Linked DNA regions of Mus musculus. The protein of the gene in region 1 interacts with the protein of each later gene in a pairwise test. Links are inferred from orthologs where the notes say so. Each region holds a gene or a part of one and is shown in the gene's direction. Other genes may lie near its edges.

Evidence for each region.
Region 2: the proteins of Padi4 (region 1) and Anxa4 interact in binary tests that used the Homo sapiens proteins (3 or more experiments, as listed by UniProt). The two-hybrid records come from large-scale screens. The link is inferred for Mus musculus from reciprocal best matches to the Homo sapiens genes PADI4 and ANXA4.

What each region holds. Positions count from the first base shown.
Region 1 is NC_000070.6:140,770,913-140,776,589, reverse strand, and holds the start of Padi4 (protein-arginine deiminase type-4), read left to right. Parts: upstream 1-2,386; 5' UTR 2,387-2,409; coding exon 2,410-2,501; intron 2,502-5,677. UniProt on the Homo sapiens protein: Catalyzes the citrullination/deimination of arginine residues of proteins such as histones, thereby playing a key role in histone code and regulation of stem cell maintenance.
Region 2 is NC_000072.6:86,790,139-86,795,718, reverse strand, and holds the start of Anxa4 (annexin A4), read left to right. Parts: upstream 1-2,134; 5' UTR 2,135-2,210; intron 2,211-4,759; exon of another isoform or gene 4,760-4,825; intron 4,826-5,580. UniProt on the Homo sapiens protein: Calcium/phospholipid-binding protein which promotes membrane fusion and is involved in exocytosis.

The sequences.
Region 1 (5,677 bases):
AAAGGGCAGGCTAAAGAAAATGTGACAGAAACACAGTTTCCTACTTTCCTACATGAAGAGATAGCTTGACTGCAGCCATCATTTAACAATGACTACCTTGGGTCAGCAAGATGGCTCAGTGGGTAAAGGAGCTTGCCGCCAAAACTCATGACCTGAGTTTGATCCCCAGAACCTATGTAGAGGTGGCAGGGGAGATCAGATGGACAGACCTGTCCTCTGCCCTTCATGCATGCCTGCGTCACACAATAACAATAACAACAATAATAATAAATAATGATACTACTTCTAATAATAATGATGATGATAATAATAAGTTGTTATTATTATTATTTAACAAGAAAAACATCCCACGGCACACTGTGCATCTTAAAAACATACAGTTCTCAACTGCGTGGGTAAGTCTGGGGTGACGGCTCAGTCAGTGAAGTGCTTGCCTTGCAAGCCGGAGGATCTGCATTTGGCTCCCCGACACCCACTTAAAAAGGCAGGTGCAGTGGCGGGACCTGTGAGTCAGAGACAAGCGATTTGTAGAGTCAGCAAGTCCAGCCAATCAGGGTTCAGTAAGAGACCCTGTCTCAAAACATCAAATAACTCTCAACGGAGGAAGATGTTCAACACTGTGCCATGGCTTCTCTGTGCTCTCACGAGGGCTCATGCACACTCACACAGATGTGCACATGTGTGTCACACATATGTAAGGCCCTGCGGGGTGGAGGCCCACACTTGAATCCCAGCGCTGAGGAAGCAGAAACACATTCTTCTGGGACTCACTGGAAGCCAGCAGAGTGGACTTCGTGGGTTGCGGCCAATGAGAGATCCTGTCTCAAAACTCAGGGGCCGGGCGGTGGTGGCGCACACCTTTAATCCCAGCACTTGGGAGGCAGAGGCAGGCGGATTTCTGAGTTCAAGGCCAGCCTGGTCTACAGAGTGAGTTCTAGGACAGCCAGGGCTATACAGAGAAACCCTGTCTTGAAAAAAACAAAAAATAAAAATAAAAAAAAATCAGGCTGGGGACCAGGGAGATGATATTTGCCAGAAAGCTTGGTGACCTGGGGTTCAATGCCCAGGACTCACATGGTGGAGGGACAGGAGGGACAAAACAGACTCCTACCATGTCTTTATACTATGGCTGGTGGCCTGGCTCCTGTACCAAACCCCCTGAGGACAGAAAGGGACCCTGGTCCTAACTCCTATTTAGGGATCACGGGACCCAGGAGCCTTTTTTTGGCCTCTCAGACCCCCAGTAGCCTCCTGTCCAGCACACACATGTGCTGAGCTCTGGGGACGCTGGCCAGGAGGCCATGGGCTCAGGTCTACCGAATCCTGCGGCCTTTGATGTGGAGCCAAAGGAGACCCTACAGCCCCCCAAACACCCTGTGCTCTCGGCAGCCTCCGAGACAGACACACCCTCTCTGGGTGCTCCCTGTTAGGACTTGTCATCCCCACCCCCAGTTCACCCCATGAGCAGACAGCCCTGGCACCAGGTGCAGAGCCCTCATGAGTGCCCTCAGGGCGGGCGCGGCCCACACCCGCACCATCTGGTCTTCTGGGGGAGGTCCTGTAGAGGCAGATACCCAGGGTATGCAGCAAACCTCACCTCTAGGTTGGGTAACATGGTTTCCCCTCCCAGCCGTGCCCATGGCCCCCACTACTTTTTCCTCTCTGTGCTTCAGCTTTCCCTTCTATAAAATGGGCTGGCAGTCAACTGCCCTCGGATGCTTGGTGTTACAGTGAGAAGCCTTTGTCTTAAGGTTTGAAAAGACCACGTCACCAGGACAGACTGCTAATAAAGGCCCTACCCTGTGGCCAGCTTCTGTTCAAATCCTTACTGGCTGCAGAGCCTCCTCTACCCTGGGCCTCAGTTTCTTCATCTGGAAAGTGGGTGTGATGATGTGAGCTGACCTCAGAGATGCTTCAAGGATGAAGTGGGGGAAGGGACTGCAACAGCTTGAGTTTCACAGACTGTCCTGGGAGCATTTCAGCGGAGAGCAAGTCCCGAAGAGAAGAGTGGGGGGTAGGGCGGCGACCTCAGCCACGCCCAGAATAGCCTTCTGTTTAGCCTTCTCCTGCCTTTCTCCCCTTCTTTCCAATGTCTTGTTAAGTGTGCTTGGGCAAGATGTGCAGTCCTGGCCCAGGCAGGGGTGGCTAAGGGCATAGCCTGTGCTCTCCCCTCACAGGCTTCCGAGTGCCCCACTCTTCTGCTGTTGCAGGCTTCACTGTGGACACCCATGGGTGGGTGGGGGGGTCCTGGGTGGCCCAGGGTAGAGGAGGCTGTGCAGCCACTGGGGCACCTGAGTGGAGAGGGGCTGGGCCTCCGGGGCAGGGCAGGTGCTGACTCATGGGCTCGCCTGGCACTATAAAGGAACCAGCCCAGGGGCTTCCTGCTGCCTGCTGACCGAGCGAGCAAGGATGGCCCAAGGCGCGGTGATCCACGTGGCCCCCGAGCAGCCCACTCACGCCGTGTGTGTGGTGGGCACAGCGACCCCGCTGGATGTCCGCGGGTGAGAGGGGCAGAGATCCTGGGCCTGTGGGGGCAGTTTGGGGCAGGCAGGAGCTGGGCGCTGCTGGCCCAGCTCAGGTTCTGGGCAAGAGATCTGCTAGAGAGATAAGCCAGAGGTGTGGGGCCTATCGTGCCAATTAGTTCTCTGTGAGGTATAAATACAACTGCCTGGCACTCAATGCAAGGAATTACAGGGCTGCCTAACAAGGGAGAAACAGTCCCTGCTGTAGGCTGACGGTGGGGAGGGCTTGGGCAGCTGGGCCTGATTTACCTTACCTCATGAAATGACTTTAAGGATTAAGTGTGGCAACTCCAAATGTGTTTGTTAAGCACTCTATGGTGCTGTTTGTTAAGTACTCCATGGTGCTGTTTGTTAAGTACTCTGAGGTGCTGTTTGTTAGGTACTCCACAGTGCTGTTTGTTAGGTATTCCGTGGTGTTGTTTGTTAAATACTCTGAGGTACTGTTTGTTAGGTACTCTGTACAGTACTGGGCAGATCAGATCCCCAACAGTTCATTTGTTGTTCATTTTTTCCATTCCCTTGTACATTCAACAAATATAACCTGAGTACTTACTGAGCACTGTGACCTCTGCCAGGTTCCGGGTCACCTAGGACAATGGAGGAAGCCTCGTGGGTGGAGTCTGATGCAGCCTTTCATGTGGGAATTGCAGCAGCTTCCCCCACAGAGCTGGGCATCGTGACCCAAGTGATGTCCATAAAGGCCTCTGGGAGGTGCCCAGGGTCAGTGGGTCAGTGACTGTCTGACCCCAGCAGCAGGAAAGCACTGGCGGTCTGGGTGGCTCACAGGCCACTGGTGAGAGGCTGAGGACACAAGGAAGGGAAAGCCTGGTATCATCAGAGGCGCCCACTCCCAGAGGACAAGCTGCTTGAAAGTGGGTGCCGAGTAGAGGCCAGAGGCCAGAGCTAGCCCAGCATCCTCGCCAGGATCCCAGGCTAGCTCTCGCCTTAAGTCTAGGTCACAAGTGCTCTTATTGTCTGTAGATGCAGGGGTGTGTGGGAGCCTGCGGAGGCCAGGACAAACTCAGGTGTCATTCCTCAGGCTCTGTGTACCGAGGTCGGCAGCCAGCCTGTGGGAGTCAGCTCTCCTCTCACCATGTGAGCTCCAGGACTCAGGTCGGCAGGCTTGGCAGCAGGCGCCTTTGTCCACCGAGCCATCTTGCTGATCCTGATGGAGGTTTTCAAATGGGGAGATCTGAGCATTTGATCAGACAGGGGTGTTGATGAAAATGTGGGTGTTTGTCCCCCGGGAAGAGCCAAGACTGGGGCATGTCCCGTCCGTGAGAAGGGAATACAAGAATGGGAGGGCTGTACTGCGGGGGGTAGAGGGGGACAGCAGCTTGTGCCGCTTGCATGAGGTCTTGGAAGAACTTCTGCCCTTCTCAGGGCATGGGCTCAACCTGCCTTTGCCTCCCAGCTCTGGGAGCAAGCCTGCACCCCCGCGCTTAGCACACGGTTCTGGGGCGCAAACTCGAGTCCTGGGCCTTTCATAGAGCCACACCAGGATCTGACATAAATAAGTAAATAGACAGACCGACAATAAATCATTTTAACTGCCCCTCCCAGGCAGTGCTATATGAGCAAGCCCCTAAACAGGGCTACCAAGCTCTGTGGCCCTGTCAGGGACTCAGGCCTAACCCCACAAGCATGGGGACCAGGGGACAAAGAAGAGGCCACCTGTGGTTTGAGAGGCCCCAGGTGACACTAGAAGGTGTTGTGTTCACAATGGGAACCCCAGCCTATGCTGGGGGTAAATGAGTGCCGTGAATTAGGTAGATAATTTCTCCGTGGCTACGCATGTACACACGCACATGGGGGCGGGGCACCTGCATGTGCAGGGAGGGCCAGACCTTGTGCATAGTGGTTTTCTGGTTTGTTGAGTGAGTGAAAGGAAGTTGGCCCTCAGTCACTCTGGGATCTTTTTACAGGAATGGCAGGGATAGGGGTAGGGGGAATATACTCGAAATCAAAACCCTTTTCTGGTCATTCTGTGTTGTCTCCCCAGGGCAGGCTCCAAACCATCCCCACCCAGCCTTTTCCCACAGTCCTCCAGGAAAGTCCGGCCTCTGTGCCACGTAGCTCTCTGATCCTTGAGTGCGGTGTGGAGCCAAAAGATGGGCGTGAGGAAAAGAGAAAGGACAGAGAATGTTCCAGGAATCAGGCTTCTCCACACCTGTTCTGGAACCCTCCTCCTCGCTGGCCTCGCTGTGACTGTCACTGTCACTCCTCCACACTGGCTTTCCTTCTTTTTTTTTTTTTTTTTTGTTTGTTTCTTGGTTTGTTTGTTTGTTTGTTTTTTCGAGACAGGATTTCTCTGTGTAGCCTTGGCTGTCCTGGAACTCACTTTGTAGACCAGGCTGGCCTCGAACTCAGAAATCCACCTGCCTCTGCCTCCCAAGTGCTGGGATTAAAGGCGTGCGCCACCACACTGGCTTTCCATTACCCCGGTGCTGTGTGTCCCGACTGTGGCTGACCCAAGCCTGCAACTCCTCCTTGCCCCCCACCTCACAGCTTCTTCACCTCAGAGTCTCTTGAGAAAGAAACCTGGGCTCTTCCCTCTGTCCAGCAGGTTCTGTTGACTTGGAAACAATTCCACTTGCCTCATAAAAAAAAAAAATCATGATAAAATAAGATAAAATGCAGGTTTTCTCAGCCACTGGCTTCATCATGCCTTGCTGAGCCTGGGTTTCCAGTCCCTCAGCTTCTGCTCAGTTGGGTAACTCAGCAGCTCCGGTCAGTAGCTTCCTGGGTGTGGTTCTCACGCCTGAGGGTGCACAGAGCACCCGGGAGACCTGAGGAAGCTCAGACCTCTGGGCTCCACCCCCAAGTCTGCAGCAGCCTTGGAAACTGGTTGTGCCCAGTTTCCCGGGAGGTTGAGGCTGCTGGCCTTGAGTCAAGGAGTGTACATTGGCTATAGCAGGTCTCTGGGGAGAATATATATATATATATTATAATATATACATATATTACAATATGTAATATAATATATATTATAATATATAATATGTTACATATATTATGTACTATATATATATATATATATATATATATATATATATATATATATGAATGAATAGGAGAGAGAGATGTGTCCTTGGGGACAATCCTTCTCCTATGCTCACTCAGCAATGCCCTCCTACCGGGACCAGCAGGCTGTT
Region 2 (5,580 bases), on another chromosome or scaffold:
TGCCATCCAGGAGGGTGCCTGACACAGGTCGGGACAGGCAGGATGCAGTGAGAACATGGCAGCCAGCGTCTGTTAAGTAACTTGGCCATTTGTTCTGGGCTTGAAATCTAACAGATATGTGTATTTATTTTGGTATTTAAAAATGTGTATGGGTGTTTTTGTCTGTATGCATGCATGCCTGTGCACCACTTGCATGCCTGATGCCCATGGAGACCAGAGGAGATTGTTAGATCTCTTGGAACTGGAGTTAAAGATGGTTGTGAACCACCATGTGGGTGCTGGGAATTGAACCTGGGATCCTCTAGAAGAGCAGTCTGTGCTCTTTTCATTCATTTATATATATATATTCTTCGAGACAGGGCTTTTCTGTGTAGCCCTGGCTGTCCTGGAACTCACTCTGTAGACCAGGCTGACCTTGAACTCAGAAATCTGCCTGCCTCTGCCTCCCAAGGGCTGGGATCAAAGGCGTGCGCCACCACTGCCTGGCGCTCTTCTCATATTTATAAAAAAATTATTGTTTTACTTTATGTATACAAGTACTTTGTCTGCAAGTGTGCAGGTACATCATGTGTGTGCCTGGTGGTGCCTAATTTTGATATCTTTAGTGTGAAGTCTGAGTCCTTAAGTTGAACAGCTCTATTCATTGTTTTGTCGCTCTGGGTTAGATCAGGTCCCCAGAAGTAAGACAAGATGCAGATGCCCTGTTAGTGCACTCCTGGGCATTCCCAGGAGAGCCTGCCATCTGTTGGAAGAAGTCGCATGTCACCTGTCAGAGCTCAGAAAGAGTCAAGACTCCTACTGGAGGTCAGCCCTTCCCTGATCCCAGACCTCAGATCCCAGATGAGCCTGGGTCAGATGGAGTCCTGGCCTTTGTTTCCCATAAAAGACTCAGGTGGGGACTAGCACTGAGTCTTCCCCGAAGACAGGTCTTCAATTCCCAGCAGCCAAGGGATCCTATGCTGGTGTGTAGACATACAGACAGACAAAAATCTGTACACATAAAATAAGTAAAATGCACACGTATTTATATGTAATAGTAAAAGCCTCTGTCTGTGGCTTCCCTACCTGGGCTAGGGCAGACTTTGGGAGAAGTGACATCAGAGGCCTGTGGCCTGGTTGCACTTGCTATAAAGATCAGCTTAGCTGTGGGCTAACTACAGTTCCTAGACACTAACCTTTATCCACCCCCCACCCCACCTCCCCTGCATGTAATTACTTTTAAAAGGATACAATAGTCTTGAATCTTCATTTTGTCCTTCCTATTACCATGATTAATTTTGTCTTCCCTTGTGGAAGCTTAGAAACATATAGACTTTGGAACATGAAAAAACAGGCCCAAGTCTAGATCAGCCTTCCTCCTCCTGACCCCCTCAGCCTTCCTCCTCCTGACCACACAATAAGCCACCTCCTCTAGCTACAGTTGCTGATACAATTTAAAATAATGACCACCTAGGTTTTGGTTGGCTAGAGAGCAAACACTGCCCAAAGCGACCCATTCTTTGTTAAATGAAATTGGAGGTTGCCTGTGGAGCCTCTGTTGCCTGCACCTGCCTCTGTTCTTCAAGCATTCATTATCCTTGTAGCAAGAGGCATGTGCCTCCGTGTCCAGCAAGGAGCCAGAACCAGGCTGGCTAGCAACCAAGAAATGCTTCAGTTGGAAGTTTAGTGGGAAACCCAGAGTTGCTTCTAACCCCGGTCCCAACGGTGACCTGTACCTGTCTCCGAGAACCCTTCCCCTGACTTTGAGGATTGCATCTGTCTTCTTTAAGGGAGGCGTGCAACTGCTGAGAATTTTCTGGAACGTATGTTATAATGTGAAAGGAGGACATGGACTGTGTCCTCAGATGTCACGTTCTGATTTTTCAAGTTACACTCTAGACTGGAGCGCCGAGGCCCCAAGTACGTTGTGCGACCCCAGCAGGACGCGAGGCTGAGACCCTGGGAGTCTGGTTGTGCAGGGTCAGGGTCCTGAGTGGGCTCGCTGTCCTCAGTGGGGTTAAAGGCCGAGTGCGTGATCTGCCTCAGGCCCCTCCTGGTGCTGGGGGCGATTCTCGTGCTCTAGCTGCGCTTCTCCGGGGAGGGACTTTCCTGTGGGCAAAGGGACAACCAGGAACTTGGGCTCAGTCTCCACCCCGAGACTGGGCGGGTCCTATCGGCCGGGACGAGGGTGTGGCATTCGCCGTAGTCTAGAGCCTTTCTCCGCACCAGAGGTAAGGGGCTTAGGGCAGTGGTCCGGACCTCCGCCGCGGGCTCTGGGGTCTGGGTGTGGGTCCTAGGCTCCGGGCAGGTGTCCTAGGCTCGGACCTGGAGATCTAGACTTCATTTGGGGAATCCTAGGCTGGGTCGCAGCTGGGGCCTGGAAACCTGAACTTAACCTCGGGATCCTGGGCTCGCCCGCTGTCCTAGGCTTGGACCTGGGAATCTTGGGCTCCTGCCGGTTGTCCTAGACTGTGGCTGGGGATCTTGGGCTCAGGGACCGGGTGCTGTGACCAGAGGCGGGTTCTTTGGGCCACTTGGCTCCGCGCCCTGGAAGCGTGAGGTCCCGGACCGGAGCAGCCACCTGGGAAACGTGGGGAGGAGCAGGCAGTGCCGCACGGTGCACAGCACTCCTGCAGTCCTTTGCTGAGTCAAAGCCCCCCCGGGACTCCGCACTGAGGATAAGCCACTGAGTTAACATTCTCTGAAGCTCACTCCAGCACTACTTGTGTTGCCTTTTCTTTTTGCAAGTAAGTTTGCTTTCTCGTCTTCTTAGGGCGCTCCTCGCCTCTCTTGTAGCGAACGGTCTCCACACAGTGCCTGGCGCCCAGGAATCATCTTATTCTTAGTTTTTATTCTGTGTCTGCCTGTGTCTACATTTTAACTTAGTCCTCGGTGCTTTGACCAGTTGGAGACTTTGGCGCCTAAGACAATTGGCGGTTTAACACTTTGCTGGCTCAATGTGCACCTCAAGGGTATGAAAGCCTCCATTTACTGGAGGAGCACTCTGGGCCTTAAGCAACTGCGCCTTTCATTAAAACTGGGCACTTTAGTGGATGGTGGAAGGATGGATAGGATGGCCGGTTGTTACCTATCCCTCTGCCCATCATTCCCAGACTCACTGTTTCCTTAGGTGGGAAGCAACTCCATTTATGGCCGTGAGTCCCTAGAGAACGGAGGAGAGAAGAACAAGAAGAGAGGACCAGGCATATATTCAGTTGATAGCGTGCCCCCAGCACACCAGAAGCCTTGGGTTTTATCCTTGGCTCCAAATAAATCAGGTGTACGTTTGCCTTTGAGGACAGTTTGGAGAAAATGACAGTCCCAACCCAAGCAACACCCTTTTGGAAGCTTCCCGTTTTAGATTTAAAAGGAATAGAATCTCATACTTCAGGACAATCGGTAGTTCAGGGTAATATTGGAGGGTAGTCTGGACTATTCGAGATCTGGCCTTCAAAAAAAGAAAGACCCAGCCAACAAAAAACCAAAACCAACACAAGAGTAGTAGGTAGGGGCTGGAGGTCTTGGTTCAAGAACACTCGATGCTCCCAGTACCCACTCCAGATGGCTCCCAACTGCCTGAAGCTCCAGATCCAGGGTGTCTGACACCCCATTGTGGGCTTGGAGAACACACACACACACACACACACACACACACAATTAATTAATTTAATGCTTTTGTAAAGAGTGTGCAGGAGAGGTTGAAAACTAGATTGAGATTACCACAGCCACTTGAGAGCCACTAACTTCAGTGATGGCCATTTTGCCAAAGCCAGTCAACTCAGCTTTCTGTTGATTTCAGGGCACACACACACACACACACACACACACACATGTACACTCACCCAGTGGTCCTAGAGACACAGAGCTATTAGGGAAAGGGTGATGATTTCCTCCTAGCTGGAGTCCCTGCTTTGGTCAGGGATCTTCTTTTTCTCTGAAAGCAGTCTGGAGATTAACAGGTCAAGCTGTGCCTGCCAGCCATCAGTACCCACAGGGTGAGCCTCTTGGTCCTCCCTCAGCCATCAGTGCCCACAGGGCAAGCCTCTTGGTCCTACAGCCCTACATCCCAGGGCACATTGCTTTGTCTGTGACCAGCCAATCCTTTCTTTTCCTGATCTTGCTTGCATAGTTGTAGGCTACCCTGATCCTCTCCAAGAGAGAGCAAGGTGAGGGGTCTGCACTGGAGATGGGTCATGTGTCAGGGAATGGGGGAAGCTACAGAGTGAGTAAGCAGATTTTTCTTTAAGTGTCAGTTTCACCCAATTACTCAACTAAAACCATGTTTTACATTTAAATTGTAGGGAAAATTGGGAGGAGAGCCCTTAAAAGTGTATTCTTTATTTTATCTTCGAATTTGAGATAGGGTCTAAGGTAGCCCAGGCTGGCCTCAAACTTCCTGTATAGCCAAGGATGTACTCGAACTTCTGATCCTATTGTCTCTGCTCCTGAATGCTGGGATTATAGATTATAGATTATTATAGATTATAGATGTAAGGAACCATGCCTAAGCTTATGGAGTGCAGAGGATCCAACCCAGGGCCTTGTGCAGGCTAGGTAACTCTCCCAACTGAGCTACGTCTCTAGCCACCAAAATTACATACCTTTTAAGCTTTTTTTTTCAAAGAGGTGTTGCTTGGGTTTGGGGCTGCCATTTTCTCCAAACCTTGGTGGTTTGTTCTCTTGCAGTATGGAGGGAGTTTAACAGGCACTGAGATGGTCTCCTCAGAGTGTCTTTGAGTAGTGATCAGCTTAATCACATTATTCTAATTCTCCTCAGCCTGGAATGGGCTCATAACCTGGTCCAGTTGAAGATGCAAGGCTTCAAGTCCCGGCCCTCCAAAGTGAGGTGAGGCTCAAGTCCAACTGAGACTCTGGACTTGGTTCACAGTGAGCTGTGGATTCCTGGCTTCTTAACAGAGTCTTGATCTGTGTTTTTCTTTTTGCTTCAACGTTCTCCGTGGCAACGTGCCATGTGAAATAGAGTTGACCGAGGTAGAGCCGGGATGAGAATGTAACTCTGCTGGTAGATTGCTTGCCTAAGATCACAAGACCAGTGGTTCAATCCCCAGCATCCCCTGCCTCAACAGAAACCTGAAGCTTTTTTGATCAGAAAAGGGAAGCTGTAGTGTGTGCGTGTGGGGGTAGGAATCAATGGCTCTTAAATTCCTGAAGGGCTTGGCATGTGGGCTTGGGAATGAGTAACTCCTTATGATAACGGGTATTTGCTCATTGAACTTGAGAAAGTGGCTTTTGGGACGCATAGGGAGGGTGTTAGAGCTGCTGAGAGTTCTCACTGCAGAAAAGGCCTGGGCAGAGGCTCTGTAGAACTGTACTGATAAAGCTATAAAAGATTCCTAATACTTCCTCAAACGTCAGGGTTCATCAAGCTCCCCTAGAAAGTCTAAATACTACTTAGATCCTTGCCCCATTCTTGTTTGCCTGTTTCTAAGACAACAGCCCTGACTCTCCTGGAACTCACTATGCAGACCAGGTTGACCTAGAACTCATAGAGATCTGGCAGCCTCTGCCTCCTTAGTGTTGTGGTTCAAGGCATGTGCCACCACACCTGGCTCTTGCACCATTCTTTTTTTTTTTTTTTTT